2 linked regions of the Solanum lycopersicum genome follow. The protein of the gene in region 2 binds, or shares a complex with, the protein of the main gene of each other region. Links are inferred from orthologs where the notes say so. Each region holds a gene or a part of one and is shown on either strand. Other genes may lie near its edges. The genes, in order: nucleolar complex-associated protein 2 and nucleolar complex-associated protein 3.

Region 1 (17,237 bases), on a different chromosome or scaffold from region 2:
CCTCCCAAAATTATTTGAAAATACTAACTTTTGAAAGTTGGTAAATTTAAAAAAAAAAAAATTAATTATGGTAAGTTTTAACTGATCATGATTTCATCAAACTTCAATTTAAGGTTGATTTTTAATCGATATTTTTCAAAAAATTAACCTTTTGGATTTAGTTTTTGACATTCTTTTAGCGTCATTTGATAGAATATATTGGAAAATCTAACACTTATATTAGTCCTGGTATTACTTAAATCTTTTATTTAGCAGGGTGTATAAATAAATGCATAACAAACCATGATATTATCCAATATCCATATATGGGCTATTAATACATGGGATAACTACCCTTAATATACCAAACCAAACGGAGGATAAGAAATAATTCCTCGTTTCTTTTGACATGTTATTTATTTTTAAAATATTTTTAGTTATTACTTTTGACATATTAATAAAAAATAATTATTTTTTTTTATGTTTTATCTTTAACGTTAAATACTTATTCTCCAAATCATTTTCCAAACCCTAATACTCCCTCTAAACAACTATAACAATATTTATCCACTTTATGAAATCAATAGATAATTTTACACTTACTACTTAATTTTACCCTTATCATTTACTATTTTAGTCATTTTCCCATTATATCAACACAAAGTATTTATTATATTCAAGAGGTGATATAAGAAAATTACATTTTTTAATATAGTTTCTAAAGAAATATACAAAGGTCAATAGCGGATGAGTATTAAACATAATTTTTTTCTCAATAGGCATGTCAAATGAAACCATAACGAGTGAAATGAATAAAGAAAATAGCTAACCTTACTAATAAATCGTATTCTTATACACTCTACTCACTAAAAGCAAACCTAGAACTCCATAGTTAATCAATCATAATAACTTGTCTCTTTATTTGTGTGTGTGTTGTCTGTTGAACTACAGTCTGTAGATTGTCCTTCCTTCCTCGGCCTTGACAAGAAAACACTGAAATGATACATGTATCCATCACTCCACCAACCAAAAAATATATGAAGAAACAAATGCTGCCAAAATTCCTATATAAACTCCTAAAACAAACCAAGAATCCAAAAGACAAACAGAGAAGCCAAAAAAGAGACTTTCCCTTCTAGTTTTCTGCCAAACATTCATATCTCTTTCCTCATTAGTGAAAAACTCCACCTCCTTAACTCACATGTCCACTGAATTTGAGAAACATAAAAGAGTAAAAATAACCTTAACTTTCCTTTTTACAACTCTCCTAGCTTCAAACTCAAAATCCCTTTTAGTATTATCTCCAATTATACTCTAAAAATGGAAGCTTTTCATCATCCCCCTATTAGCTTTCACTTTCCCTATGCTTTTCCTATCCCAACACCAACAACCAATTTTCTTGGAACTCCAAATTCATCATCAGTTAATGGAATGATCATCAACACTTGGATGGATAGTAGAATTTGGAGTAGACTTCCACATAGGCTTATTGATAGAATCATTGCTTTTCTACCACCACCTGCTTTCTTTAGAGCTAGAGTTGTGTGTAAGAGATTCTATGGACTTATTTACTCTACACATTTTCTTGAATTGTACTTGCAAGTTTCACCTAAGAGGAACTGGTTCATTTTCTTTAAACAAAAAGTACCAAGAAACAACATTTACAAGAACGTGATGAATAGTAGTAACTCAGGAGTTTGTTCTGTTGAAGGTTACTTGTTTGATCCTGATAATCTTTGTTGGTATAGGCTTTCTTTTGCTTTAATCCCACAAGGGTTTTCTCCTGTTTCATCTTCTGGTGGATTAATTTGCTTTGTTTCTGATGAATCTGGATCAAAAAACATTCTTTTATGTAATCCACTTGTAGGATCCATAATTCCCCTGCCTCCAACTTTAAGGCCTAGGCTTTTTCCTTCTATTGGTTTAACTATAACCAACACATCTATTGATATAGCTGTAGCTGGAGATGACTTGATATCACCTTATGCTGTTAAAAACTTAACTACAGAGTCATTTCATATTGATGGTAATGGATTTTACTCAATATGGGGTACAACTTCTACACTTCCAAGATTATGCAGTTTTGAATCAGGCAAAATGGTGCATGTACAGGGGAGATTTTATTGCATGAATTTTAGTCCTTTTAGTGTGCTTTCTTATGATATAGGGACTAATAACTGGTGCAAGATTCAAGCCCCGATGCGACGATTCCTACGTTCACCGAGCCTTGTTGAAGGGAATGGTAAGGTTGTTTTAGTTGCAGCAGTTGAAAAGAGTAAACTGAATGTGCCAAGAAGTTTGAGGCTTTGGGCATTGCAAGATTGTGGTACAATGTGGTTGGAAATAGAAAGAATGCCACAACAATTGTATGTGCAGTTTGCTGAAGTGGAGAATGGACAAGGGTTTAGTTGTGTTGGACATGGTGAATATGTGGTGATAATGATTAAGAATAATTCAGATAAGGCATTGTTGTTTGATTTCTGTAAGAAGAGATGGATTTGGATACCTCCTTGTCCATTTTTGGGAAATAATTTAGACTATGGTGGTGTTGGTAGTAGTAATAATTATTGTGGAGAATTTGGAGTTGGAGGGGGAGAGTTGCATGGATTTGGTTATGACCCTAGACTTGCTGCACCTATTGGTGCACTTCTTGATCAGTTGACATTGCCCTTTCAGTCATTCAACTGATAGTTAAACTGTTTACAAGTGGGGTATCAGTAGTACTAGTACTATGAATAGTGTTTCATTTGGACCTTAATTAATTGTATTTTTAGTGTTTAATTATCTAGTGTTTTTATATTACCAAGTCTTTAGTAAGAAGAAAGTTTGTACTCTACTATTGTTGGTTGACTTATTAATATGAGTTTTACATTGATTTGTGCTTATATATAGTTTAGTTAGGTATCTTTTTTTACTTCCTTTTGAAAATACCAAAGTAGAAAACCCTAATCATTAAAACAACAAGAATATCGTTATGTTGTCAATTTTACCGATGATTTTATTAGCATATCATAGAGTATTCGACATATTTACAGTACACAACCATCTTACAAATCTAATTTTCTAACTTTTTTTTGTAAATTTTAACCAAAGTTTACGATGGATAATCGATATATAATTAGTTTATTATACAAGCTAAAATTGTTAGGATCCCTCGTTTTGATTTGATTCTAAGTCATTTTTTTGCCACGTGGAATATAATAACCTCATTTGCTATAAGAAAGTTAATTTCAAAGTTATAAATGAAAATTAGCTTCTGGTTGATTAGTTGGTTTTTCTCTTGAAATAAGTGAAAAGTATGAAAAAAGAAAAAGTAAAACTTGTTCATCTCATAATTTTTAAGAGTGAGAACAAAATCAACTACATGCAATTATTGGATGTTAATGTTAAATTCTACATAATTTCTACCATTCTAAAACCCTTCTTATAAACTTCCACTAGGTATAGTATTGTTATATATGTATTGAAAAAAAAAACTTTATTAATTACTTTTGCATTTCACAAAAACAAATGAATTTGTGAACAAAACAAGTTTTTCGAAGGTTTCTTATTCTGAAATTTAAAATTTTCTGTTGATAAATGGTAACTTGTAACGTAACTCAAGTTGTAAGCTAAACAAAAGGCATTATACATAAACAGACACTCAAACTAAATCTCGTGTAGCAAGTACACACTCCAACATTGAGAGTGAACATAACTCGAGTTGTGATCAAAGGGGTACATCAAAAGAACGACCTCTATAAGTGCCAAAAAGAAATAGATCGATCAATGAATTACATCTCCATTCCCAACTAGTTGCGATTAGTTATGTATGAATTGTTATACGTAGTCTGCCCTACATGGCACGAAAATTTTTTTAGGATAAAGGAAAACAAAATTGATAGCTAACTAGTACAGTATAATATATTTTGCTTAGAGCTTACACTGGACAAACTGGCTTATGCTACACTGTTCTTGTTCCTTGTACAAGAATCATCAGACAGAAGATGCTGCTTGATTGGATTGCTTCCTTTTCTTGTTCTTCCTCCGATGAGTTTTCCCTTTCTTCTTTGAAGGCGCTTTAGATGGCTTTTGTTTTATGCTGGCTTCTTCATCAGAGGGGGCGTCACTCAAGGAACCCTCCTCATCATCAGAACTGAGAATAAAATCCTCTACAATGTCTTCGTCAAACGCAGTTTCATCTTGCTGATCCTTCCTTCTCTTCTTTTTCTGTTGTTTCTCCTCTGTAGACTCCTCATCCCTGCAAAACATTATACCAGACAAATACATTCATATACACCAACAAAATAAAGATAGCTTGTTGATCCCTTCCTGTCAGGTCTCAAGGGTTCTTTTCCTCTCGAGGAGAGAGTTATAGGTGGTGGGAATAGGTAAGTGGTGAAGAAGAATGTGAACGTACTTAGGAGTGCCTGCTGGTAGCCAAGAAGAACTGAAGACAGCATCTCCTTTGCTATCTTCAACATCATCATCTTCATCGCTTTCAGTTATCTTACTCCCGAAGGCAGATGAATCTTGGCCAACGAGTATACTGCAGATAGACAAGTTCATTACTTTATGATTAACAGAAAGATGTCTCCAGATAAAAATCTTAAGAAAAATAGAGTGTTGTGAAACCTGGATTCCTTTAATGAATCATTTCTCTGTTGTGCTCTCTGTCGGAGACTAGCAACATATTTTGATAGAGGACTCACCCCTGCATTCTTATCATCCTAAGGATAAACATGAAGGTCAGAATTGTTTCAAGGGAGCCAAATCATGAAAAAATGATCCCGTGGATTAATCCTAGACACACAAATCTCTATAACACCCCAACCTATTCGTGTTCGTCAGAAGGATGCTTTGATAAGTGGACAAAGCTTTCAATGTGTTCATTACTAACAAGAGAAGATACCAGGTATAGGTTGGTTGAAAAATGAAAGGTGATTGAATGAAATTTTACTGGTAATGAGAAAGATAAACATCAAGATGTTCAAACCTCAAGAAAAGATGCTGCCGCTGGGTCATTAGGCAGAAATGAAACTGTCATGCGCTTCTTATTTGTGTACTCCGAATTGGCTTCAATCTGTAGATTTACCAAGTCAACTTCAGGAACTTATAACAAAGGCTTCATTTCAGAAGAAACAATTGGTGCCAGCTAACAAATAGCCCATAATAGAATCTAAATGCAACTATGCAAAGTTAGATATCCCAGAATCGATACTGCAGAAGATCTTTTGAACTCAGAAAACTATGCAAAGTTATTAGTGCAGACATGTGACTTGAGAAAATAATCCACTCATATCAGCAAATAGAATCAAGTACCCAACAAACATACCTCGCGAATAATTTGCTTTATTTCGCGACGGAATCTATCAACATTGGTGGACTTGCAGAAGTTGCGTAACCTAACAACAGGGACAGAAGAGAGCTCAAAGAAACCAACTGAATAGCTCCATTGAGCAAGATGCTCAGCAAGTTCCTCAACCACAGAAAACACACATGCTTCCTGGAATGCTCTCGTTTTCAAAGTAAGCTTGCTAACCTGATACATCAAATATAGATTCAGACAGCTAGACAAGTTCTTGTAAAGCAGTACACTATTAAACTAAAGTAAGTAGAGAGGCATTCTAGAAGTACCCTTAAAACAGTACGGAAATCTATGGCTTTTCCAACTCCCCCTGTTGGAGGCCTACGCAATTCTTTTATTTCCAACATGTCTAAGAGGAGTGGGGAAACAGGAACAAAAGAATTGGTGGATGCAGCAATTCTGTTGAGCATTTTGATGCATCGCAATCTAAGGGGAAAATAGCGAGCAGTTGGAACCAAACGAGCTGCTCCAGAAATTATTTGCGTCAGCGGATAAGCCAGGGGCCTAAACTCAGGTTCTGAACTGTATGCACAGATAGCTGCAGTCCAAAGCTCAAGACAGTGTATATACTTCCACTGGTAAACCTTCAGAAATGATTCCTGAGAAGGATTGAAAACAAAGAAACTGTGATTGGATCCCCTAAAAGGCAAATATAACTACGAAAAGATATACAACATGTGCATAATACTGAAGCAACATAACAGACTGTAATTTCATGATCAACTTGACACTCTAAGCTACTTTGTCTCTTGAAAATTACAAATGAAGGCTAAAATGCATTTTCTCAACTCTTCAAAGCAGAATATTCTACCAGAACTTAGTTGACTAAAAGAGGGAAAGTTAAAAAGATCACATTTTGGTAACCATAATCCAAAACAAATAAAAAGGTGACAAGTTAAGAGTCAAAGTACCTTGCCCTTGGTATTGTGTGCTTCCTTGGATGATTGGTTAGCCTTTTTAGACGATTTCTAGGAAAGATTAGACAAAGGGATAACAATAATTAGCGGCCACTAAAAGGCAAGGATAACTTTCAGTAGGATAAGATGCTACCAGTAATGTAAAATGCTGAAGCCACTTGATACTCTTTGAACATCTTTTCAAACGTGAAAATATGAATTAAGCTAACATGTATGTTGGAACTATTAAGCCAAGTATTCTTAATCTAAAGTTATTTAAAAAAAAAAGTGCTACACAAGATACCTTTTTAAGTTTTACTCCTAAAAGATTTATAGAATAAGCTTATATCAATGGTTGGTAACAAATAGTCAGAAAGAAGACAAGTTATCAGAAACAAAATAACAAACCTTGGTCTTAGTACTACTATGCGCATCCCGTAAAATCATTGCCAACTGCCGAATGAAAACAAAGGCATGCTGGTACGCATTGGGAAGATCCACCCTAAGGAGTTCAACGAAACAATTACCAAGAAATTGAATATGCTGCAGCTTTGACGCATTCATGAATTGGCAGTTCAATAAATAAGCTTTATACATCCCTCTAATGCACTCATCAATGCAATCAGAGCCAAGCTGTATACACAGATCCCTTAGAAACAAAAAAGAGACAACTGGTAGTGCACCTCCGCCTGTACCCCAGAAATGAAGAAGAACCTGAAAAGTCAAATTATGCTTAAGCTTGATTCTTTTAGACAGTGTGAAGAATACCTCATGCAGAGAACAAAAGACCCATGTGACACGTGTATTCTGAAAAACAGAGAAGTCTAAACCGAGAGTGCTTCGCGAATATTTTTAAACTTAATTCTTATGGATCATAATTCAATGAATTTACTTAGTTTGTGATAGTAGGAAATAAGCAGTGTGCATAGTTTGAAGTGATCAAAGGCCAAACACTTAAAAGACCCCAATGACAAATTGAAGATAATTAGCTTTTGATTATAGCTGAAGCCTCAAAACAGCAAATTGCCTAACCAACTCACCACTGCCCAAAGGAGAGGGGGAATGGATGAAACATGCAAATCTCTTGCAAATAAAGTTATATTCTAGCAGAAGAAAACTGTCATTCTAGATTAATCATTCTTTGTACAAGAAAAGAGTTATGTGAATAGTAAGTATTAGATCAGTCAATCCCATACCTTTATATATTTCCTCAAAAGAACTGGAAAAGCAGCCAAAAATACAGATGAAAATCTGAGTCTTCGTAATGTAAATGATATCATTTCTGTATCTGTCATCTGATTTAGAACATGTAGCGCATTCCCAAGATATGATTTGACCAAGTGGTTGTTGCTCTTCCATCGTTTAGTTTTAGACATATCCTTTATCATCTCCTTCTTCCCACCAGAAGTTGGTAATTTCAAAAGGCCACGAAGAATTCCATCCATTTCTTTTAGAACAAATAACATTATCTTGTTGAACACAGTGCTAGACATAGTACTCCACTTTGACTTAGCATCTTCACCAGTATCATCGCCATAATGACAAGCTGTGCGGAAAGCTCTCATGAGAGACCTAATAGCCCCCGAACTCCTGTTTTCATGAATTGAACTACACCAAGCATCCACCATTGCAGTAGTGATGAGATTTGTGGATGACTTGACCTCCTTTCCATCTGCATGAACAAGTTGTTCAGTGTCAAATTCATCAGCTTCATCATCTTCGATTTCCTCACCATCCATTTCAGTCTCGTCATCATCCTTCACAAAATTGGAATAAGATTCTACAAACATTTCACATACCATGAGAACAATGAGAAGGGAAGATATTGTAAAGACTTACATCAGTATCCTCATCATCAAAATCTAGGAGATCCTTGTCATGCTCTTGCAAGAATTGATAGAACTCGGGATCCTACAGGAAAAAAAATGTGGCATATGCTGGTTAAATAGATTTAACAGTAATCAGTACAAAACATTATGGAATGAATATTTTGCACCACACTACTCTTGCACTGACTATATCAAAATGAATAGCAGATGTAATTACATTGTTCAATGATGCAAACAGGCTAAATATAGGAATGAGTTATAGATGAATGACCTTGAACTCTGTAAGGAAACCTATCCAGCTACATCATTGAATCATTATATTGGCATCGGAAGGAAATGGTGTTGGGATTCTAATACTCTACTATCGTATACTCCACAAAGTACCATCTCGGTACTGATTCTAAATGAAATTTTATTTTATCTGATAAAATAATGAATCAATAACCGACAGACGAAATTGGTTCTTTAAGCAACTTGGTTTGCTGCTTCTGGCACATCAAAAAGTTTGGCTGCTCATGTTTTAGTATTCCTCGAGTTTTTTCAAAACTTATATGAAAAGTAAAACTATTCATAAATAAAGTACTAAACACAGAATTGAAAGCACAGAAAGAAAGCAAAGAACTCATAGACATATCAACAAAAATCTCACCTTTTCTTGGAGTCTTTTCAATTGCTCCGCATGTCCTCCCACATTTTGCTCTGAAGATGATTTGGGCATCATTTCATCTGTCTTTTCTTCAACCCCAGAAGATTTTTTGCTCAATTTCTTCGATTCTGACATTTCCAAGCAACAAAAAAGAAGAAAAAAATAGCATGAAATAGGATGTAAAACATGAAAGTGCGTTGAAAGAAAAGAGTAAAAAAAGACACCTTTGTTCTTCATCCCCATTGATTGAAATTTGTGAGTTTCTTCCTTCTCTCGCTAAAACCCTATAATTTGCTCCAGGGTTTAGTGTTCCGAAGATTTTAGCTCCATTGACAAAGCTGAACAGTAGAAGACGTTGAAGTTGGGCTTATCGGAGTACTGATATTTTGGGTCAAAAAATATAGAGCCCAATGGTTGATTTACATTTTACACAAAGGTCCCTTTTTTGGGACATCATTTAAATTTTGTCCAAAATTTTAAAAGTTGTGCAAAAATATGACTTTGAAGTTAACAAGACTTTCATCTAACAATAAGTTAGATTGTTATGGCATTTTTTCATAGGATTTTTAATTTGTTAAAAAAGAAAATTTTGGATCGTGAAAATAAAGATTCATAAATTATAAGATGAAAAAAAAATATATTCAATAAACAGTTATTTCTAAAATCAGCGACTAATGGAGATCTTATGAACTAATCCCATTGTTTTGTATTTATTTTTTTTCCTTTTTGTTGGTAGAGAGTAGGAAAATATTTGTATAAATGAAAATTTAGAAGTTGTAACAGTGGTTGAATATATCCTCGTAGTAAGTACAATAATAGTTAATTGTATTTTCATAATTAGATAAATATTGTTTGATTCATTATTTATAATATACCTAAAAGAAATTGAAAAGAATTATACCTAAAATGATAGATAATCCATTAAACAACATTTTTAGTGAATTCAATCGTAAAATTTTAGACTTGTTCCAATTATGATTGATGTGTATACTTGTAAAAATAATAACATATTTATGCTGATTAATTTAACTATTCTTCAATAGACATAAAAACTTTAATATTTCAATAATACTTTATCATGTTCATGAGTTCGGAACTTATCATAATTTGAATGTAAAATTTGTTGGGTTAACAGACAGAAACCTTTTATTTTTTCTGACCAGAAGAAAGGCTTTGGCACTTTGTTATCTACTACCACCTACTACCCAATTGAAAAAGATAAATTTATGGAATGACCTACCTAGTGAACTCACATGCCTATTATTATAATTATAATTATTAAATGACCTACCTAATGAACTCACATGCATATTATTATTTTTAAGGGGTTATATATGAAAGTTTTTCTCTTTTTTTTTTTGGGAAAAGACTTAAATATGCCATTAAACTTTTAGAAAAGGCTCTTTTATATCATCAGTTAAAAGTTTGGCTCATTTATGTCATTACAGTTAAAGAAAAAGCTCATTCACGCCATTATTTTTAACGGTGATTTTGCAAAACCATTTTAACACGTGATTTGGCATCATCAATTTTTTTAATTAAAAAAATTCATTTTTTATTCAAAAATTTGATTTTTTTTATTTAAAAAATTGATGACGTGGCCAAAAACATAAAAAAAAATAATTCAATTTTTTTTTCAGAATTATGATTTTTTTAATTAAAAAAATTGATGACGTATCCGAATTAGAATTGACCATGTGTCAAAATGACTTGCAAAAGCACCGTTAAAAATAATGGTATGAATGAACATTTTTTTTAACAATAATAACATAAATGAGCCAAATTTTTAATTAGAATAGTAAAGATCCACCAATAAAAAAAGAAGACTTATAGAAAACAGTACTAGTACTTGATAATTTATATATAGTGACCACCTTATCTCCAATGAATTCAAGCCAAATCCTAAAGCAACCATGAAAAGAGGAAAGGTAGTGTTCATTTCAACACCAGCACTTGGCAACATTGTTCCAATTATTGAGTTTGCTAAAGTCTTCACTCAAAAAAACAAAAATATTTCAGCCACCATACTCTTAATTAACATCCCTCAAAGACCACTTGTCCAATCCTATATTGACTCTCTCACCACCGCCGCCACCGGAAACATCCATTTCCTCTCCCTCCCCGTGGCGGATCCACCATCGCTCGATCAATTCGACGCAACTATAGGCTTTTTATCGCTATTAATACAAAATCACACGTTACAAGTCAAAAATGCACTTATTGACCTTATTTCAGACTCGGACTCGGGGCAAGTTGTTGGATTCTTTATTGACATGTTTTGTACATCTTTTATTGATGTAGCTAAGGAACTAAACATCCCATGTTATCTCTACTTTGCTTCCCCTGCTACTTTCTTGAGCTTCATGTTGCATCTCCCAATATTAGATGCTCAAGTTAGTACTAATATTGAGTACAAAGATTCAGCCAATGATTTCAACATTCTTGGTTTTTCCAATCCTGTCCCTATCAAATGTTTCCCTTCATTCATGCTAAAAAGACATATAGATGGTTATTCTTGGTTCCTACATCATGCAAAAAGGTACAAAGAAACAAAGGGTATTATTGTCAACACGTTTCAAGAACTTGAACCATATTGCTTAAACTCATTAGTACATACTACAACTAGTCATGTTGTACCACCAATTTATCCAATTGGACCTGTAGTGGATCATAATGGACCAGCTCAGTGGCATCAAGATTCTTGGGGTCATGAAAATGTTATGAAATGGCTTGATAATCAAGAACCATCATCAGTAATTTTCTTGAGTTTTGGAAGTATGGGAAGTCTTAAAGATTCACAAGTGATGGAAATAGCAAAAGGTTTGGAGAAAGCAGGACACCCTTTTTTGTGGGCAATTAGAGAAGCACCGAAGGATAAAAGAGAACTTCCAAATGATTATACAAACTTAGAGGAAATTTTACCTAATGGGTTTTTAGAATCAACAAAAGGGAGAGGGCTAGTGTGTGGGTTGGTCCCACAAGTTACAATCTTGGCCCATAAGGCTATCGGAGGATTTGTGTCACACTGTGGTTGGAATTCGATTCTCGAAAGTTTATATTACGGAGTGCCAATTGGTACATGGCCAATATATGCAGAGCAACACTTGAATGCATTTGAGTTGGTGAAAGAGTTGGATTTGGCTGTGGAAATCACAATGGATTATAGAGATGGCACCACATTGGTTTCATCAGAGGAAGTGGCAAAAGGGGTTAAAAAATTAATGGATGGTGATGGTGATGGTGAGGTGAGACAAAAGTTCAAGAAAATGAGTGAGAAATGCAAGGATGTTTGGAAGGAAAATGGCTCATCTTCTAATTTTCTTGGACACTTGATTGATGAATTAATGGCTGTGATTTGAAGAAGGGTTGGCTAGTCCAAACTTGGTGGGCTTTGTTTGACTACAAAATTTAGTTGAATTTTATAAAGCGATGAAAATAAAGTTTTTTAGTTTATGTAATTCTACCTAATTATGTAATTTGGATTCAAAAATAATAATAATTAAAGTTACGATGATGAAGTACATTAATAAAACTTTTATTTTCTAAAAGAGCGTGAGTAGATATGGATTTTCTTTTTGTAATAAATGATGAATCTCAATTGAAATTAGTAAAGAACAACGTACTTTAATGTCGTTTGTTTTATAATTTAGCTGAATCGCAAAAATAGAGTTATTATTTATTCTTTCATAACATAAGAAAACTCCAATCATCTTCAAGAAATGTATTGACGTATTTCTAAGAAATATAACTTATATTTTGATTGTCTTATTATATAATCATTTTTTGTTTTAACAAGTTATATTAACGGCTTTAAGGCTAACAATTCTCGAAGATGAAATTTGAAATATGGTATATGACAACTTCCCTAAACTCAAATTCTTGAAATTATGTAATACCCTCGTTTTAAATCAAACTACTTCAAACTGATTCTTTTGTGACCTTCGTAAAAGTTTGAATAGAGATAAAATTTCAACTCAAATTAATCTAATTTCAACCTTGACAGTACTGGCTATATTTTAAATATATTTTGAAAAAAACTGAATATCACTTAAATAGTAGGTTGAAAACTGGCTACCAGACGCAATTCCTACTTTAGGCCTCAGCGGACACCCGACCCGACCCGTATAAAAAACTTGCGCAATAAGACTAGCTTCACTCTTCGTCTACATAAAGAAGAGAAAACCTCTCGACTCTTTTCATTGCGCTTCTCTTTAGATCTCACATCTCAGGTATCTTTCTATATCTTCAAATGGCGATTTTTTTTTCCTATTACTGATGCGTTGATCGATATAAACCCTCTCCCTTTTCCCAATTTCTTGGTATTTTTCTTGATTTTTGTAATGTTCTTTTTGTTGAACTCAGTGATGGGTTTGTGTTATTCTATTGATAAGTAAATTAGTTGAACTTCTTGGGTTATATTTTCAAGAAAATGTATGGAAAATTTTGGGTTTTTTTTGTGAAAGTAGGAAGAGGGTTTACATGAGAAGGAGTTTAATTGATCTCTTGCAAGTAAATGATAATTGACGACAAATATTTTACCGGTGGCGCGATAAGTTCATTTCTATAGCAGCTCTGGTTGTAAAGAATTGTTTTAATTAGAAAAAAAAGAGAGACAAATTTCATTAAGACGTGCAATGGAGACAATTTAGCTTATGGGTGTCACTAGTTAGGGAAGTTGGGTGGGTATCTGGTGTTTATGAAGTATAAGTTGCAGAATATGACTAGGGTTTTAACCCCTGCCCAGGAGCTCTCGCACCTTTTAGCTCCATTGGTGACTCGAACCCCAACCTTAGGGTTGGGGGTTGGAGGGTGATTGCCATGTGAGCAACCCGTCCTGTCGTATGACCTGATTTAGGTAGTTATGCCATGGTGTTTTTGGTGTATATTTGAAAGATAAATTACAGCACCACACAGTGTTATAGGAGGGTTTTGAATGACTGGACCAATTTATAAAAATTTCTTCATTTGGAATGTCCAGTGAGGTCTTCTCTAGGATGGCTTTGAGTGTGGAATTCATGTATACTGTATTGAATAACTGTACCGACCTCGGTTGAAGATTCAAGTGTTAAAAAGGAGATAGATCTAGTTAGTGTTTGTCTACATAGATTCTTCCCCTTGTAGTAAACAATAGTTCCTTAGCAGTTAAAGGCATGTTTAGTCTAAGTTGTAAGATTGCTGCAGTGTTTACTGAGTTTTAATACTATACCCACTCGGCGTTGTTAACTCTCGATTTTATAGTTCCTTTCTTTATCTCTCCTTTTTGAACAATGCTCTTAGATTTTTATTGGAATATAAGGAGTGAAAGTGTAAATGTACCAAACTTTAGCCTTAATCTACAGAAACCTAATATAAGATTTCTGATCCTGACAGCTAATAGTTTACCTTAGCTGCCTTAAATCCCTTCTTACAATTGGTCCTTTTTATAATCCCCTGTTCACCTTTTACAAAATTTTTTTTATCTTGGAGCAACATATAACCAATCTCTGGTAAACATTTGATGTTTTCTTAATTGAAATCTAGGATAATATTTAACCTTGGATCACATTGCTCCTGATTTGATTTCTTGAGAAGTTATCTCCGTCTTTGTACCAAGTGCAGACTGTATCCTGCATCCAATTAGTATACAATTGAGCTACTCTTAAAATCTTTTGGTTTCAATTGCAAGAACTGAAGTTGACACTGGTGGTACTAGCCTCCAGTCTGGCAATTGTATTTATATTACTCTAGTGGGCAAGCCACATCTTAGTGTTTCAAGTAAGAGTTATGACAAAGTGATTTGTCTTCTTTGCTTTTGCTACTAGTAAAATTCTACCAGAACCTACCAAATTCATGAGTCTGCAATCACTCAAAGTAGAGCTCTTCCCCACAAACAATTCTCCCTCCAAGTTTTTCACATTTCCTGTGGAACTTAATACGCAATAATGCTAGTGCTTTTTTCTTTTTGATTCAAATCCTAAGAAGTTGCACCATAAATTCTGTTATGTCCCCAGTCGTAATTCCTTTTGGCTCATTGCCGTGACTTGTATAATCTCTTCCATCTGCAACTTGCATTGTGATCTTGTTGCCCACAATGGCCTTGCTAATGATTCCCTTTTCGACAAACTGGACAGTATTTTCAGAAGGTTCCTTGCCTTGTTGGATCTCAAAAGGTGCTGGACTTGATGAAAATAATCCTCCTAATAATCATTGTTTAATCTGTCATTATCTCTTTTAGCTGCCCATTCTGTCTTGAGTTCCCATCGTTAATGAAGTGAAAGTGGTAAACAAGCTGCTTTGGTTGGTACCACTAAGAAATTGTACAGTTTGATGCCTACCAAAATAAAACGGAAAGAACAGACTTGTTATTTTCTTAATCTATAGCAGATAAATATAGATTAGCTGACACTGACCTCAAGTTAGAAGAAAAATAGAAAAGAAAACTCTGATCTAACTAATGATTTTTATACTTGTTATCTTCTGGCAATCCTTGTTGCTGCTCCTTATTTAGCTAACTGCATATTCAAGTTTTTTTCAGTTAAAATTTCTTCTCTCTAAATGTAATTCATTCACATGCCATATGGGCCTTAATTTTGGAATGCTAAACTGCCCCTGTTAGTTTGTTTTGAGAAGTACAGGGAAGGGTTAGCAGTTAGCACTCTGAAACATTTTTTTATGAGATAAGGAATTTCATTAAATGACATCATGAAGTGTCAGCTCCAACTTCATCTTGGGTATGTATTTTGCACTACTTGGCATGTATTGGACTATGCCAAACTCCTGACTTATCTGCTGCATAGTTGAAACAACGAGGGTCTCAAAAAGAAATTCCAAAAAACTTGGAATACTATTTCTCAGGCCATTTGGTGGACAGTTGGCTTGAAAGAAATAGCAGAATTTTCAAGGGAAAAGAAGAAATATACTTAGCCTTGAACACAAACGTATTTATTTGCTAGCTTTTTGGTGAAACCTGGTTCTTGTACATGATGTAGATGCAATGTTAGATACAATCGAGGAGTTGCACCTTCTTTATTCATGCATTTGCTTAGTGCAAGCTCATCTATGAAATCTCTTCTTACCAGTATCACTGTACACACACTTCAAATGTCCACAAGTTTATCCATACAGGTGGGAAGTCCCTGAGGTTGACAATTTTCAACTTCAACTCTTGTGTGGACTTATATATTGTTTCGACTCAGTTTTGTATCTTTCTTTCTGTTGTGTTTGCCAACATGCTCGTTAGTTAGACTTATTCATGGGAAGGGTAAAAAAATGAACCATGTTTTATGTGCTCTGAAATTTTTATCTAACTAGCTCAAGTTATGTTAATTTATCAGGTATTCTGCAGTAAAGAAAAAAATGTCACGAAGGTATGATAGCCGAACAACAATCTTCTCCCCAGAAGGTCGTCTCTACCAAGTTGAGTACGCAATGGAGGCTATTGGAAATGCAGGTAGTGCTATAGGCATCTTGTCCAAGGATGGGGTGGTGTTGGTAGGTGAAAAGAAAGTTACATCTAAGCTGCTTCAGACCTCTACTTCAAGTGAGAAGATGTACAAGATCGATGATCATGTGGCATGCGCTGTAGCTGGAATTATGTCTGATGCCAACATTCTGATCAACACAGCCAGGTTTCAGGCTCAGCGCTATACGTTCGCTTATCAAGAACCCATGCCAGTTGAGCAACTTGTCCAGTCACTATGTGATACCAAGCAAGGTTACACACAGTTTGGTGGGCTTCGCCCTTTTGGTGTTTCATTTCTCTTTGCAGGTTGGGATAAAAACTATGGCTTCCAACTTTACATGAGCGACCCAAGTGGAAATTACGGTGGTTGGAAAGCCGCAGCAATTGGAGCAAACAACCAGGCAGCTCAATCAATTCTTAAGCAGGATTACAAGGATGATATCACAAGGGAAGAGGCCGTTCAACTTGCTCTTAAAGTGCTTGGTAAGACAATGGACAGCACTAGCCTCACTTCGGAGAAACTTGAACTTGCTGAGGTATTTCTCTCTAACGGGAAAGTCAAGTATCAAGCATGCTCTCCCGAAACTCTGAACAAAATGTTGGTGAGTGCTGGACTGACTCAACCTACAGTAGAAGAATAGTCGTAGAATGCCTTCCAATCTAGCATATGACATCATTGAACTCTCTCTACGCCATGTGTGACATGTTGTACTAAAACTAAGTGGTGGATTTGTCTTCTTACAACTGCATGCATATTTATGTCAAATGCTTTCCAGTTTGAATTTTGTTTTGGATTTACTTCATCATTTGTTGTTATCGTGGTACTTTACTGCATTTGACATGTTTGTGCCTCTGTTTGCCTGAGAAAGAAAAGAACACACAAACATACCCTCCATCTTTCTCAATTTTAACTTGATGCAACTACCGTAGGGGAAGAAGGTGAGATCTTTTCATCTTGTAGCTATCCATTTTAAACATTATTTCCTTCCTCCGACTAGTAACTATTTAGTCCTCTAAAGCTCTGAGGATTTTGGTTATGTAGTGGTGATTATACCAAAGCAGAAGGTATGATGATTATTCAGAATGGAAGGAATAATGT
Region 2 (16,930 bases):
AAAGCTTTCTACAAAGGATCATGTTTTTGTGTGAGATTCTCTACTTCCCTATACATTTGTATGACAGGATTTCTCATAAAATCAAAATACAATTTAACCAAAATAACAATAAACGACAGGTAGCCCGAAAATGGAAGCACAGTATTTTTCTTTCCTCACTGAGAACTAGTTCTATGATGTGGTTCAAGTTCAAACCTAGAGTGTTCATGATAATTGAATCCACTGATTGACATGCTCCACTCAATCATCAGCAAGAAAAACATACCTAGGCTTTATTGCATGCTTTAGGACACGAAAGTATGTCTCAAAGATAGCTGATAATACATCAGTCTGCATCCTTCTCCTTTCAGCAACATCGGTAGCTAATGAAGCAGCCTTCAATTCTGTGGTGACCTGTAAAAACATGAGATGCGCAAATGAACTTACACTTAACAAGTCCAGTCACAGATCATGTTGGCAAAAGAATACCTCTTCTCGTGTCTTTGACATCATCTCTTTCCGTGTTCTCTTTTTCTCGTTGGCAGCTGATTCTTTCTGCTCCTTAAGGTCCTTTCTTTTGGCATTTTTGCTTTTAAATTTATTCTTAGCATCTTGAGCTTCGCGCCTTCCAAGATCATCATCAAATGTCAGAGACATAAACACCTGAGCATGACAAAATCAAATTAGGAGGACAATCATTCTCCCACTGCTAAATCTAGTGTAGACCCTGTACTTGAATAGATGTTGTTGAGAGTATTAATTCATATGTGGACTAGCATTTATCGCCATCTTCTCTGTCAATTATTTGACACTGCCACCACATTTAACATTGGAATATTCACCTTTTTCCCAATACCCAAGATATATGCTTCAAATTCACATCATATTTAAGTTCAATATGTCATCATAAACAATCTTAGAAAAAATATCCTAAAACCAAAGTGTCGGTATTAAAATTGCAGACCTCAATGGAATCAGGATGTAGTTGACAATCAGAAGCTTTAACAAGGTCTGCAATCATTTGAACAGCCTCCACCGTTACCTCACCACCGTGCTTCCCCTCATTGGTGAAAAGTGACTTAACAGTAGCACAGCAAAGTTTCCTGTCAACAAGCAGTAGATAGATAAACTTGAGAGAACATAGTTGATACTTCAAAAACAGCATATCCTGGAGGCACAAGCGTATCATCAAAAAAAAAATTGAATATTCTGTTTCACAATCAGCATGCATCTATGGAGAGAGAGGACTAATCTACAAAACAATGCAACATATCTCAATAACTTTAAAGTGCACGAACTCTACAACAGATTTTCAAGCTTCGCCAATAAAAGCAATTTAGTATATCTTGAAATGACATATTAGCATTCAACTTGGACAAGACAAGAAGCAAAAACAACAACAAATACGGTGTAATCCCACATGTGGTCTGGGGAGTATAGATTGCCACTAAGACTAAGCTCACCTCTTTAAAACGAAAACTTCTTCTTCCACTATCAAAGCTGTTGAAATCAGGTCTTAGGCATAACTCACACCCAAAAGGTCTTAGGATTGCCCAATTCTTCAAGAAGTCCACCCATCTCATTAACCACCGATTTGGGACTTTTGTCATTCTTTAACACCCCATCTCACGCCCAGTGCTTGGCATCTGGTGCGTGGGCAATTTTTGATTTGTGGGGGTCCCAACATCGAGTGAGACGAGCCCTCTCTGATACCATGTTGAAATTAGGTCTTAGGCCTAACTCACACCCCAAAAGCTAGCTCAAAGGGAGGAGGATTGCCCAAGCCTTATAAAGAGTCCATCCACCTCATTAACCACTGATGTGAGACTTTTGTCATTCTTTAACAAAAGATTTTAAAGTTAATATTAGCAAAAAGTTGGCTAGGGATTTAATATAGCAAAATTAAAGGTTCAGCTTCATAATTTAAAGTTAAAGTATAAGTCTCAACTATTCCCTAATATATATGCCTAATCGAATTACATCAACTAAAACAGGAAAATATATTAGACATTATATATTGGATGAATGTAAAGCATTAAAGTAAACAAATATGTTGCATTGATTAACTAACGAGAAGCCCTTTTAAATCCTCAAATAAGCTTGTCTTGCATCCTCTGTAATGCCAAAGCAACCACCAGAAAAGGATCATAATGCAACCCAATTAAGGATTCATGGAGGGCAAAAGATACAAAATGGAAGGAAACGAAAGAGGAGCAGTAGGCATAATTTACCTCGATATGTCATCCTCAGAACTTATGTTTCTTATGACAGCACCTAACAAATTCTCACGGAAATTGAAGTGTGGAACTGCCTCGAGTAATATACAGATGCAGCGAACTGCCACACGTTTGTATACAGCCTGCTTTTCAACAGCTAGCAGTTTCTGTATATACGCCTGTTAATACCCAAATAGGAAAAGGAGTAATGAGCAAAATTATCCGACCCACACACGTACATATATATATTTGAATTATATTTGAATCTGCTATCCGACATATACGAGTAACATTTCTAAGGATGCAAGTTAAGTCTCTAAGACCATTTTGAAATAGGAAAATCACATTCTATTTCAAATTTTCTTCATCTCAGCAACTTACCTTCCTGATACGAGATATATCAAGAAAAATATTTGAGAAAACGTACAGTCATACTGATACATAATAACTTAGATTGTACCCATTTGATTGACCCACTTTCAAAGACAAATTCTTACTTTTACTTCTATTCATTTCATAGAAGTTGCTGCAGTATGTGAACATGCTTAACATAGGAGTCCAGCTAGCCCTTACACTCGTCAAACTTATTGACTCATTCTCAGGTAATGAATTTACTTTAATAATTTGAATTTAATATCCCACAGCTAAGATAATTCATACAATGCCCTGGACAAAAAATAGTTTGTCTGGTGTTTATTCAAACCTAATAACAGGTAGAAATATGTAAAATAGTTGCAATGTAATGAGAATTCAATAAGTCAACCTAAAATCTGGAGGAATACATTAATTATTACAGCAGCCCTAGCACTCTTATCTGCATTAAGTACCTCAAGATGCTACCATGTAACACCAGAAACAAGAACAGCTCAAAGAATATATGTTCCTGTGTTTCATACTTCTTATTCCAAACGAAGTACAATTTCTATGGAGTATGGTCTGAATTCGTATTTTTCCATCCACAAGGCAAAAGGTCAAAAGTCTGTTAACATAGTGCACTAAAAAGGTAGCACAATAATTTTCAAACAAAGAAATGGAACACAACAAAGTGGTAAAGCATGTTACTAACAATATGCACTAGCAGCTATAAAATGAATTCAGATGTCAATCAATTATTACAACCTTATATGCAGATAAGAGGGTAGATTCATAGAACCGCATTTTCTTAACAGCCTTTGATACTTTCATCTCCTGCTCCTTTTCAGTTGGCAGACGGATGCGATACCTGGAGAACAAATTGAAGAGACGTAAGAAGAGTAAATTGTTTACATCGTAAAGTTGACAAAAGAACAAAAAAAACTACAACAAGTAAACTAGAAGCAGCCCATGAACTCTTGCAAACTTCTCACCCGGGGATGATATCTCTGAAAACGGCCAACAAAGACTGAAGGGAAAGTACCGCAATGTCACGATCACCATCTTTAGAAATCTCCAGCATCTCCTTGAGAGATTTGATGTTTGATTCAGGATCAGTAAGCAGTGCAGTTCCCAGCTCAGCTAGTCTAAACTTCTTTTTTTGATTGGCCTCTTCTGCTGTCATATCATTTCTCACTTCGTCCTAACACCAAGGAAGTAAAAATCAATATACTTGTATCCAAATGTAAGTGTCTTTTTTTACCACAGTTAAGGTAATGACAATTTAAATCCTAGAATTTGAAGTAAACATCAGTAATATATACTTCAACAACGCCACTGAATTATAAATAGAATTGCAAAGCTATTTTCCAATTCATCAAATACAGAAGAGAATTATTGGCATTTAGTTTAAATTTTTTGTTTAAGTGATTGAACAAAGAGAGTTGAAGAGAGAAATCAGAAGAAGAAGGAAGTGATTCAGAAGCTGGCTGGGACACCACAGTTATCAAAAAAAGATGTGATTCCCAAGGAGCAGAAAAACAAAGGTAGTAGAAGAGAAGGTGCTACAAGCTCAAGAAGAAGAAGACAGCAGCAAAGAGGACACTAAAGTGTATATAAGAGAAGTCCCAAGTACACTTGATATAAAAAAGCCCTATTTTTCCTGTTCTTTTTTATTATTTGTCTTTTTTTATCCAGTGAAATTCGATTCAGAAAATCAACCGCTTCTTGTAAGTTTACTTTACACCTCACCATCTAAAATTCATAGTTTCTTCCATAAGGCAATAATCTCTTATTTTGCATTGCTACGTTATTTAACGATGGCTGATGGCTTTTAATAACAGTGGTTATTTTGTTGGAGAAGAATATAAAAATTAGCTCACAAAACTTCGTACATACTATATATTGAAAGAGTATTGACAAAAAAAGAGGAAGTGTGTTTGGGACAGCTAAAGACAGGTTTGTCATTCTGATTTTTGGGTCCGAGGGAGTATCATTTTCCAGAATAGTTCGCACAGAAATGCCTAGCTCAAATCACGCTACAACACCTCTTACAAGGATCACCCCAATCCAAGTGGTTTAAGATCTCCTCCTTTACCAAAATTAGGAAAACATGAAGCAACGAAACCAGGTATTAATTCCACTAATTAACAGTATAGTGACAGTGCAACTAGGGGTGCCAGCATTAACTTATGTAGTACCCAACTCTCATCATATATACTCTTTTCAAAAGTTCAAGTGCCTCTTTCACTCTTTGCATTGTAATCTACAATTTAAAATTACTTCAGGATAGATATTCAAGCACTACAGCATATCTTTTGGATATATAATGCACATACCAAGACTTCAGCTTGAGGTATTTGCTCAACATCTTCTACTTCTGTCCCCTCTTTTGCCTGTTTCTTGGCCTCTTTCCTAATTTTCTTCAATTTGGCACGCTTCTCTGCTTTAGTCAGCCTCACCACACTTGCATCAATACCAGCCTCTTTGTTGTTAGTAGTAGCTTCATCTTTATCTTCGTTTTCAGATTTTTGTGTAGCCTTTGGCACTGTATATCATGAAAAGACTCAATTAACGGTTACAGCAGGTAAAATACCGGGTGATGATGACTGAACAAGAGCTTTCAGTACCTGTCCTGTAATAAAGTTTTCCATCTAATGTCTTCACAGGAAGAGCATCCACAGGATCAACCTCTAGTCCCTGTTTTTCTGTTTCTTTATCAAGTGACTTCTTCTTTAATCGCCTTTCATACAGAGACTCTAGCTCATCTTCTTTCACATCGGCAACACGAGTAACATGCCTTTCCAATAACAATAATAAGATCAGTTATAGGACTTTAGAAAGTTAATAGACTTGCATAAGACTGGAATAGGAAATAAGAAACTTAAAGAAACAGATGTTCTAACTAAATCGTACTCTAATGTTGAACATAGCAAAAAATACAACTCAAGCAAATACAAAAGGAAACATCACTCTCACAATTTTTAAGAAACATAGCAACCTGTTGAACAAATAAAAGTTGCAGTGTCAGATAGATTAACCTGAAAAAGGGCCAAACGCCAAGGAAAACGTCAAGAGTGGGAAATGAAAACGACCCCCAATTACAGGGGCACCAGGGTGAACTATTCAATAATCCAGGATACTGTGAGAAGATTACAAGAGCTTAAGAAAATTCCAGGATATGGTGAACTTCTTCGAATTGGTGAATTATGGGCCCATTGACAAGCTACAAAACTAGGATAAGCATTAAACTAATTGAGCTCTGGAGCTTCTGAACAAAGAGTCAAACTGTGGGAGCTAAAGGTAATTTAGCGACCACTTAAAACTAGATTTTCGAAAAGGAAAAAAAAAGTTCACTGTGAACCAAACATTACTGCAGGCCGCAATAGAATCTGGCAGGAAAATATGCTCAGCTGTCAATCTTGTGTCAGTTTGAATAACTCATTCAGACGGGAGAGAATGGATTGATTGCAAATGAGCTATTATGCCTGCCAAAGCTCAAACATGTGTAACGTGGAAGAATTGTTTCCCTGATTAAACCCACTTCTGCGGCCAAAAAATGGATTCCGAAGTAGAAAAGGGAAGCAAATTCTTTGAGATAGACTTGCTTTTCTACCTATTTGATCTTTTCTAACTAAAATCTACTATTTGATCCAGCAATGTTTGTAGCACTTCAATAATTTTAAGTCAAATAACAATCTTAAGTTTGGAAATCCTGATCATGAGAGAGGAGTTTATTGGCCTCCCATTTATTTGGGGGAAATGTAAAATACACAGTTGGATCATCAAGTAAATCTTTTTTAATGATGAGATGATTTTGGCAGAAAGCACCAACATAGTACCCTTCAATGCCAGAAGTTTAACCTTTTACCTATTGTATCTTGGAAAATACTCTCCAACACGTCACTGAATAGAATTTTTCAATAAGAGATGAGCATGAAGGCAAGGATAACACCAATACAGTGGGAAAAGACACTGGCCACTTAGATAAAGCTCTAGCATACTCCATATAGTACATTAATATGTGGAAGTGTCAAATGAAGCACAAGTTATACAATAGATAGGTATCCTACAATTTTTTGAGATAAAGGTAACTCGTATTCATAGAAAACTCAGCACCAAATGCCGAGGGAGAGGATTTACAATTACAAAAAAGGAGTATGGGGGTTCATTTGTACATCTATTTTCTTACACTTTGCCTATGAAAATCTACTAAATCTCCCATTTCCCCCGTTAAAACCTGCTTATACCAAAAATAGATAAGGCTGAAGCTATTCATCATGATCTTCTGAATGGAATTTCTTCTATCTTCAAAATGTCTTAAGTTTCTCTCCCTCCAAACTGTCCACCATATGCAGGCTGGAATACTTTGTACTCAATCCTCCTCTGCCTCCTTTCTTCCAACTCCCTTCCTACATAGAGCTAATTTCCCTCTAGGCATTTAAAATCGTTCTTCCATGATTTTTCTTCTTCTTTAGGAAAATCGATATCTGATCAACCGGTCATATGTTTTTATCAGGTTGATCAACCGATCATAAGAGACGTTAGGCGAAAAACCCGTTTTTCCGAAAATAACTAATATCAAATATAATTTCAAATATAAGTCTCTCCAAATCAATTAAACAGTATATTCCCCTTGGCAAGAGCTGTGTCTTTTCTAGTTTTCGGATATGTAGACTTGTGAGTGAACATTTTTCAAACAAAAGAGACAGATTAATACATTCAAATCATCCAACTTACCAAATCAAAATGAAAATTTTTCGCTATCTATGCATCAATCCACAAAAATAAAGTCAAAAACAACCTAAAAACATGTCGAGAAATGCTCATTTACAAATAAAATTTATTTTAAAAAAAAACAAACATATCTGTATGTGCATTAGCTCCAACAACATAGAGTGAGAATAAACACATATACATGCCAATAATTGCTTACTTATTAATTGACTTCGTATCCAAATTCGACAAGAATCCAGTATATTCTCGATTTTCGCTTACAAAAAGCACGTCTTCATCTGATACTTCGACTGCTTCATCAGGAACTTCCGGTGGAAGATCAGGAGGTAGCACAATCTTTTGCTTTTTCTTCCCCATTACTAATAATCTCTGCAAGAGGTATATTACAAACTGTGAGCTTCTAAAATCAACTAAACATAACCTGAGCTTCACTAAGCAAAAATTTCAACAAAAAAAGAGTTACTTGCTTAAACGAACACGAATATTAGAACACAATCACAAAATCAAAGTAGCACAAGCAAATAATCGGTATAATATGCAGAGAGAAAGATGAACATACACTTTAATTTGATTTTTTTCTCTTGAGAGAGAATGATTATAGTATGGTGTTTTTGCAGAAAGGGAGGGAGGAGGGAAGCGGCTGAGTGTGAGAAAATTAATTTGAGGGCTCAAACTGAATTGGAGCGAAAGTTTGGGTTTGGGTCTACTATTTCTATCGGCCCATCAAAAAAAGAAATATGGGCTTTCACCCAAGTTCAGATGTAAGTGCACAAATAGCCAATGTTGGGTCATTTTGGCTAAGTTTGCAAGTTTTTCCTTTCTTGATAATAAATATCTAAAGATGTACTATTGATTCAATCTGATAGCTTCACGATCGATAGTTCAGTGTTGGGTGTAAACATTTAATATAAAATTTTCGTTCTTTGTTCATGTGATGCCAAGGGAGTGTAAAGAATGAATAGAGAAATTTCAAACTTTGTTTATTGTTTATTGAAAAAAAGGTCTCAAAATTTTGGTCGAAATTGTTGTTACGATACCAAACGTTATAGAGGATCTTTTACCCGCGTGCATTTCTTAAAATTTATCTTAAAGGAATATGTGTGCGCACGTGAACACATTACTATTTAAAATGATGCAATTTTTATGATGTTCACTTGAGCGCATAGATACCTTTAAAATACACTATTAAATAGTGTTGGGTAAAAGACCCTCCATAAAATTCGTCATCGTAACTACAATTTCAATCAAAATCGAATATGTGTCAGATATTTGTGAGCTTAATATATGTCCCTCGATCCTTTTAATTATAAAAGTCTCTTTCGTAAGTTTATGAAATTATACATATGACTGGATTTCAAGCACAAATAATAAATTTTATGAAAGTAATTCAGGAAGTATTTTTTTTTTTAGGAAGTAGGTTGATAACCTAAACAGCATATACTCTCTTTTGATTCTCTTTCTTGTTAAAACTAATTTTATAATATTTTCTTTGATTGGTAGAGATCTTTTTCAAAATGTTATTTTCTTTGTAGGTAACATGTTGTTCTGCAAAATGATCTCATGTACCATAGAGTCATGATCTTTGATCTCCAGATCTTTAAATTACGTTTTAAATTAGTGAAATTAATTAAATAAGTTTGTCTTGTTTACCAATTATTTTAATAGTTCGAGTCCTTTAGTTCACATTGTTTTGATCTCTATAATTGGATTGGATATTTAAATGTATTGGTCAATTACAAACGGAAAGTGTAATACATTAAAGATGTTTTCTTTAAAATTACTAGCAAAAAGACAGAGTGTATAAATTTTTTAATTATGACTATAATATTATGTTTCTTGCTCATATTATTGGTATTGTGGTTATACTTTTTTTCTTCTTCTATAGTTTCCATGATTATATGTTCAAATAACCCATCCAAAGCCTAAAAGAAAAGAATTGCTTTTGCTTCTCATTTAATAAAATTATAAGTAAAAGTACTTCTTAAAGAAAATATAATATCTAGATTACAAGATATGTCCTTTAAAAAATTAGTATATATTACTTAAAAGGTTGGGTCCCTAAAAAGTTTTAATTTTTAAAAATTAAAAGACACAACTTCGATTCTCAAAAGTACTCACTTTATTCTTTTTATTTATTTAATTTTAATTTTTTATTCGTAATTTTTAACATACCAAAAAAATAATATTTTCTCTTATTTATTATAAATACGTAAAACTTTTCTAATGGATAAATTAATTTTAGAATTCTATCAATTAATAAGGGTAAAATAATAAATTTACTGTTAATTAGTATTATTTTCTTAATATTATGTATCTAATAAAAATAAATAAATAAACAGAACAAAAAAAGTTCTACGTAACTTCACATTTCATATTTCAATTTTTCACTATATATAATTTTCAATATCCAGGGCTAATATTCTTTTTACATCATAAAGTATATCTGGCAATATATTTATTTTTGTACATTTGTGGCTTTATGCGAATGAGCCGTATGTGATTAGAACTGTTCAGTGATGCTCATCCCTGTACAATGAGTCGGTGCAGTTTATCCCAGTCTTCTAGAAAGAACCATAAAAATTTTAAAACAAAAAATTTAAGCATCCTAGGGGATGATAATTAATCGGATCATAATGAATTAAGATAAATTTAACTAACTCAGCATATATTTAGAATGTGTTTGGTATGAAGAAAAATATTTTCTAAAAAATATTTTTTAAATTTCTCATGTTTGATTGCGACAAAAGTTTTGAAAAATGTTTTTCAAATTTAACTTATTTTTCTCAAAATTAAGGAAAATAACTTCCCTTAAAAATTAAGAAAAAACAATTTTTTCAAATCTCTCTTTCAATTTCAAATTACATTTTTTTTAGTAAAACATCAATTTTTTAAAAAATAAAAATATTTTCAATTTCAAAATTTTATTTTTTCACCTGATTCCTGACCACCCTCCACTCCAGCCCCCTTTCCCAAAAAAATAATTTTATTTTTAATAATTTTTTCAACTTCAAATTTTTATTTTTAAACTCCTGCCTCCCCGGCCAGCCCCCCTACCCACCCTCTACCAGCCCCCCACCCCAACTCCTCAAAAAATTAATTTTGCTTTTTAAAAATACTATCAACTTCAAAAATTTATTTTTTCACTCCTACCCCCTTCCCTGCCTCCCCCACTACCCCCACCCCCAAAAAAATTGTTTTTAATTTTTTTTTATTTCATAAATTATTTTCTATTCTAATAAAAATAAAAGATGTTCCTCAAAAATATTCATTCATAAATCAAACACTAAAAATCATTTTCGAAAAATATTTTTTACTCACCAACCAAACATGAAAAAATAAATTTAAAATCTATTTATTTTCCACGTTAATATTTTCTAGAAAAACATTTTTTATGAAAAATATTTTCCTTCGTACCAAACACATCCTTAGATCAAAAGAAAGTTGGATCAAAATGAATAACGTAATAAATTATATAATAGATCAAGACTTAATTAAAATTATATTTATTAAATTTCATTATTTTATTTAGTTTTTATAACTATTTATTATCTAATAAAATTATTATTTTTTATTATAATTATATATAGCAATTCAAATTAAAAAGTAAAAAAAGAATTAAATAATTTTTTCTGATAAAATTCTTTTATGAATCAATTGGAACTTCACGGCAATTAATATTCTGTAATCAGTTAGTGTTATAAAAAAGTTTGAGCTAATAAATCAACCACCCAAATTTAAACGAATTAAACGGGTTGAATTTGATTTTATTAATTCTACACCAAGAAGGAAAAGAAAAAGGAAAAGGAAAAAACAATCGCTTTATTTAGCAATAATCAGAAAGAAAGAGAAAATCAGAAACATCTATATATACAGGAAAACAAAAACCCTAACCCTAATTCTATATAAACCACTATTATTCTTCATCGCCAGCCCAAACTCATCATCCATCGTTGTTTTTCTCTCGAAAAAAACTTTGTTTCTTTCATCTTAAGAATTGTTTTCTTTCTTTTTCTTTCGAATTCCATTGTGAATGGTAGAAATCCTCAAGAACTTGTTAATGATCTCCCCTTTAACACCAAAAAGGGGGATCTCTGTTTCATCTGCTTTCTCCTTTGGCTCTTGCAAAGAAGGCTGGTACTTCCGCTGCCTCGGCGTTGACCCTTAAACGCTGTTCGCTTTTCCCACAATTTCTCGAAATCGTGATTTTTTCTTCTTTTTGCTCTGATTTGTATGATTGAAAATAAATTTTGGAAAATTATCAGAAAAAAATTTGAAATTAAAAACAAGATGTTGCTTTACAAGCCAAAGAAGAATCAAACCGGAAAAGGTAACCGGATTTTGATTAGTATTACGGTTCTCGGAAGTGCCGGTCCGATCCGGTTTGTTGTTAATGAAGAGGAGCTTGTGGCTGATGTTATTGATACTGCAATGAAAGCTTATGCTAGGGAAGGCCGCCTTCCTGTTCTTGGTTCTGACTTCAGTAACTTTGTGCTTTATTGCCCCAGTGCTGGCACTGAAGGTAATTCTCACTATATCATCATGTATAGAAATATAATAGATGTTGTGCTTTTACCCTTTTTTTATAAATTATATATATGGGTGATTTGTTTGTGTTGTATCTAGCTTCGTTTGTGTTTTGTTGGTGAGAATTTTTGGTCCGCTCTTTGTTTTTTGCATCAGAAAATTTTAAACTCGTGCTGATTATCTAGTTGATGTATTCTGAATTGTGTTGTATTGAGATTTCTGCTTGTTAGGAAGTAGTTTGTTTTTTCTGTAGCTTTGCTTGCTTTTATAAATTAGCTGGCTTTTGTATAATTTTGCTGATTTGACGATGCTGATTTATTTGTGCAAACTTGATTTGTTAGATCATTAAGTTTGCTCTTTGTTCCTTGCATTTGGTTGCTTTTGTGATTATGTTTAATAACTTGTTCCTGTTATTAGTTTGATTATCAAGTTGCATATGCTCGAGTTTGTTGTTGATATGCTATAGCTGCTTGCTTCAACTTTATGATTAGTTTGTTTAAATCATATGAACAATTTGCATCTGGTACGATTGTACGTGTGTTCGTTTTGTGCTCTAAAATGCTTTTAATGTTCCAACATTGTAAAATTTTGGTGTTTGTTGGAGAAAAGGTCAAACTGTTGAGAGCTGAGGGTATATGGGGAACTCCTTCTGTACCCTCTGATCTGCCTATGCACTTGCCTTCTCAGACCCTGATTTGTGGGATTACGCTGTGTTTGATGTACCGTTGGTGCTCACTCTAAATTAGTAGATGAACTGCTTGTTGTCCCGTGTTATAGAGGCTCTTGTTTTTTGTCCCAATGGAGTATTTTACTTGTGCTTATGTTCACATTGCAGCTCTTGGTCCATGGGAGACTATTGGATCGCTTGGAGTTCGGAACTTCATGCTGTTCAAGAAGTCATCACAGGGCGAGAAAACAGCCGATGGTGGTAAGCAGTCACCAATCCGGAAGGGAGCTGGAAGCTGGAAGACATGGTTTAACAAGTCAATCAGTAGCAAGATAGCATCTCACTGATCAAGTAGACTCGGTCTTTTGAAATCTTTCTTCTATGCGTCTGTCGCAATTCGTGTGTTCACATGCGACCCCTAATAAACAAGTGCAGTATTTGTGTTTTCAATAATGGCAAAGTAAAACCCTTTGTCAGCTTTTGAGTTTTTGAAGTGTGTTCAATGTGTGTTAGTTCTTTGAACTGGGTAAACAGTCTCGTTGGTGTTTCAGTAGTCAAATTACAAGCAGATATTTTCTATGAAAGGAATCCTGTTCTCTTTGCATTTATATTTATATTTTAAGCATGCTCGTTACGGGTAAATGAGTAAGTCATCTCTAGACTCAAAAGCAAATTATATAGGAAATAACAAGTACGTATAGAGTCGAGCTCTTCTCGAGTCAAAAAGGATCTAGAGGTGAGCACGATGCTTGATACCAAAATCACAGTTTAGTTGTACAAGATACGCTTAATGCCATAATCACAGAATTTAGACAAAAACTAAACCTCGGAGATTAGTGTGTAATATTGAAAACAAGGGCGGAGATTAGTGTATAATATTTGACCCAACACAAAAGTATTTTAAACAAGTGCGATAGAAAACTCAACCTAGGAGATTAATATGTGATACTGAAAACAAGGGCGGAGATTAGTGTATAAATATTTGACCCAACACAAACGCATGGGCCATGGCTGTTTAATGGGGTGTCATTTTAAAGGCACAAGAAAGGATATTCTGTTTTTGGTCTTTCTCTCGTGCGGTCTTTACTTGTCAATTGTGAACAGATTAAGAAAGAATAATTTTTTTAATTAATTATTTTGAAAAAAATAAGAATCTTTTAAAAATATTAAGTTTTTGATTCATCAACTTCATAAAGTAACAAGATTCATTATGTAAATCATTGTTTTCTTTTAATAGGTGTAACAATTCAGAAGTGGTCGAGTAAATTAGAGATATGAGTATTTAAAGTACAGAAATATACAACTTAAAATATTATAATTTCTTAAATTTTGATTATAAAAATATTCGAGAGTAATGTATTATTTGCAATGTATTAGCTGAATGAATGTGTCCAAAAAATTCGGGAACTTCTGGGATATAAATATCAAAATTTTCCAAAATTTTATGGGCGGCCATTCATGATTTCCTAACGAGTGGAGAAATAAAAAAAATTATTCGAATATTATAAAAATAAGTTTCTAACGCAAATTTGAGTGTCAAAAATTTTGTCAGACGCAACAAAAATGCAATTTTCACAGTATATAGAGAGTACTTTTTGAGAGGGAAAGTACTTTTTACAATCATAACGTTCACGTGAAACAGAACACTTTCTCAAGCGCGAAAACAGAGAGAAAATGGAGGACATCACAAGTGAAAGAGAAATAGCTGAAGCTCTCAAGCCTAAAGTCGCAATTCAATGTGCTAAATCTGCAATTCTCATCTCATCGCTGAAAAATACTACTCTAGATTATGCGAATCTTAACCAAAACAAGGTATTCAATCACTTTCCGTTTCACTCTGTTTTACATGCGTTTGATTATTATATGATATATAGTTCGGAAATTTTTGTTGTTGAAGTTTTTGATTTTTGATGATTTCAGAATGAGGAGAATTTGAAAGAGGCGGTGGAATTGAAGATGGAGATAGTGAAGGAGAAATTGAAGAACAAGAGGCTCAAACTCTGCAGCGTTACGGAATTATTGGTTCAAGTTATTGCTTTACTCTCCGTTTGGACCCTGCTGCTGTTGCTGGCGTTGAATTGATCCCAGTACTTTCGTTCGATCCAATTTGTTGCTCTATTCAATAGTTCTGTGTTGACTGTTCACATTTTGTTCTTCATTGAAGTAAACTTGTTTGCTAGTGTTATATTCTAGAAGTATCTGATAACCTCTAGATGCTGCAGTACTTGAGAACTCAGATTTGATCGACTTCGATGCATATCTATCAGACCATGGCTTCATGTACCAAATATTTCAATATTGTTGCATCCAGTATTTTCGTTTTGTTCTAACAGTATCATGAAGATGTACTGCAGATTTTTGAAAGTATTGCATGATTTTATGGTTAATTAGGTGGTGTTCTCATTGTGGATAGTAATTGTTTGGAATCTTCTGAGGAAGAACAATGTTCAAATCTTCGTCATCTGTCATGAAAATCATTTCCTTTCGCAGTGGAACATATTTCTGATTTGTTAGACTGCATCGTAGATAATGCAATGCTTCTGTATTTTTATTTTCTAGTGTTATAGGTGTAAATGTTGCAGCAGCAGATTTGCATTGGCTTTACTTTTTCTATTTCCAGTTTGCTCGGGCAAGTAATCTGTGTTTTCTAGAATTTCTCATATTCTATTTATTTCCAATTGAATGCTCGAATAGATTTCGATTCTAGAAAGAGATTCACCAGTAAAAATAGGTGGAGAAACTTTATCTTTTTTAACTTTAAAATAGGTGGAAGTAGCCATTAAAAGACGATCTACATCACACCCCTAGGGTGCAGCCCTTCTCTAGACCCTGCTAATGCGGGATGCTTTGTGCAAGACCTCTCGTTAAAATCTTGTTGCAATCTAATATATTCTTTTCCCTCAAGGATTGGTAAGTTAGTGACCATGGGGTAAAAGATGGTCAATTCTTTTTTCATTTTTGGGATAAGTATTGCTAGTAAAGTTGCAATCCCTTTTTTGGGGGATTTGGAGGGGCATCTAATTCCAACTGCTGTGGATTACAGTAATTGTGTATGTTGGCTTAACTTTTGTGGCCTTATTTTAATGGAATGAAAAGACACCTAGACCAATGTTATGAGTCACTTTTTAACACTAGGATATGGAAATGAAAGTGATAATTAAGGACAACGATGATATGAAGTGTCCATGAAAACAGTAGTAGTAGATTAATAGGTGGAACTGACATATGCTTAGATGTGGAAACTTGAACAACCAAAAAGTTTGTCTCCTAGTCTTATTCAACAGCTGATAATTAAAGGTAGGTTTGGGTTTTAAGAGAAAAAAATCCCAATACAGTTGTAATAAAGAAATCAACACATCTTGCTTTAAGATTGGGCCAATTAGGCAGCAACCTCCTCTCACCTTTTCACACTCCACCTAGCCCTTTCTATATTCCTTCTTATGGGCAGATCACTTGCTTGATGTCACAGTTTTGCCTCAATTTCAAGAAAACAATGATTTCCTTTCTTTGGTTAATACTTCTAACACACATCAGGTGGGTAAATACAGCAGATCTAGCAGATGTTTCAACTTCAAAGGTCCTAAACATATTCATATTAGCCGGACAAAGCAACATGTCCGGCCGAGGTGGTGTCATTAACCATGGCCAAAATGGCCTGGCTAATGAGACATGGGATGGTGTGATTCCACCAGAATGTCAATCCAACTCAAACATCCTCAGACTCAATGCAGGACTTACATGGGTTGAAGCTCAGGAACCACTTCACCAAGACATAGATTTGGGTAAAGTTTGTGGAGTTGGGCCAGGTATGTCATTTGCCAATTCAGTTCTGAAGAGAGATCCAAGTATTGGAGTGATCGGTTTGGTGCCTTGTGCTATTGGAGGAACAAATATAAGCGAATGGGCTCGTGGCAGTGTTCTGTATAATCATATGATAAGGAGAACAGAAGCTGCTTTGCAAGGAGGTGGAAAACTTCAAGCTTTGTTGTGGTACCAAGGTGAGAGTGATACAGAGACTCTTGAAGATGCCAAATTGTACAGATTTAGACTGAAGAGATTATTCAAGAATGTGCTCCGTGATCTACAGTCACCTACATTGCCTGTCATTCAGGTAAAAAAATATCTTTACTCATTCAAATTATATTACTCTAGTCGGCAAAAATATATTACTGTGTATTAGTTTTTAATATATAATTCTTCATATTAATTATTAATTGTTGAATTGACACGGAAAATCAATGATTTGACTCTTGTACTTCCATATATTACTTTTGTTTTTCCAATTTCCGAATGGAGCTGGTCAGTCTCTATTTATGTACCACATGAAAATTTAAGGTATCGTATAATGGTTGCTCTCTTTCCTTATCAGCAAGTCACATACTCGTGACATTCACTTTTACTTGTCTACTATATTAAAAATAATTTTTTTTTTTTATTTGTTCATTTTAGCATATTA

What was found.
Region 1: nucleolar complex-associated protein 3 (region 2) and nucleolar complex-associated protein 2 share a complex: the UniProt entries of both Arabidopsis thaliana proteins name them as parts of the nucleolar complex. The link is inferred for Solanum lycopersicum from reciprocal best matches to the Arabidopsis thaliana genes AT1G79150 and AT2G18220.

What each region holds. Positions count from the first base shown.
Region 1 is NC_090801.1:61,733,416-61,750,652, forward strand, and holds nucleolar complex-associated protein 2, read right to left. Parts: upstream 9,078-17,237; 5' UTR 8,941-9,077; coding exon 8,922-8,940; intron 8,826-8,921; coding exon 8,701-8,825; intron 8,134-8,700; coding exon 8,062-8,133; intron 7,980-8,061; coding exon 7,419-7,979; intron 6,937-7,418; coding exon 6,631-6,936; intron 6,295-6,630; coding exon 6,238-6,294; intron 5,926-6,237; coding exon 5,596-5,925; intron 5,501-5,595; coding exon 5,294-5,500; intron 5,042-5,293; coding exon 4,955-5,041; intron 4,689-4,954; coding exon 4,594-4,688; intron 4,508-4,593; coding exon 4,379-4,507; intron 4,220-4,378; coding exon 3,955-4,219; 3' UTR 3,698-3,954; downstream 1-3,697. Other genes in the region: DOT (DOUBLE TOP), read left to right, coding at 1,300-2,667; UDP-glycosyltransferase 43, read left to right, coding at 10,611-12,056; proteasome subunit alpha type-4, read left to right, coding at 16,033-16,779. UniProt on the Arabidopsis thaliana protein: Together with SWA2, probably involved in pre-ribosome export from the nucleus to the cytoplasm.
Region 2 is NC_090803.1:61,907,721-61,924,650, forward strand, and holds the start of nucleolar complex-associated protein 3, read right to left. Parts: upstream 7,969-16,930; 5' UTR 7,843-7,968; intron 7,653-7,842; 5' UTR 7,641-7,652; coding exon 7,483-7,640; intron 5,347-7,482; coding exon 5,177-5,346; intron 5,095-5,176; coding exon 4,886-5,094; intron 3,751-4,885; coding exon 3,542-3,750; intron 3,418-3,541; coding exon 3,315-3,417; intron 2,375-3,314; coding exon 2,211-2,374; intron 1,083-2,210; coding exon 944-1,082; intron 643-943; coding exon 469-642; intron 394-468; coding exon 266-393; intron 1-265. Other genes in the region: uncharacterized protein At4g22758, read left to right, coding at 11,514-11,802, 12,643-12,821; probable carbohydrate esterase At4g34215, read left to right, coding at 15,935-16,585. UniProt on the Arabidopsis thaliana protein: May be required for synthesis of 60S ribosomal subunits and the transport of pre-ribosomes from the nucleoplasm to the cytoplasm. Also required for initiation of DNA replication.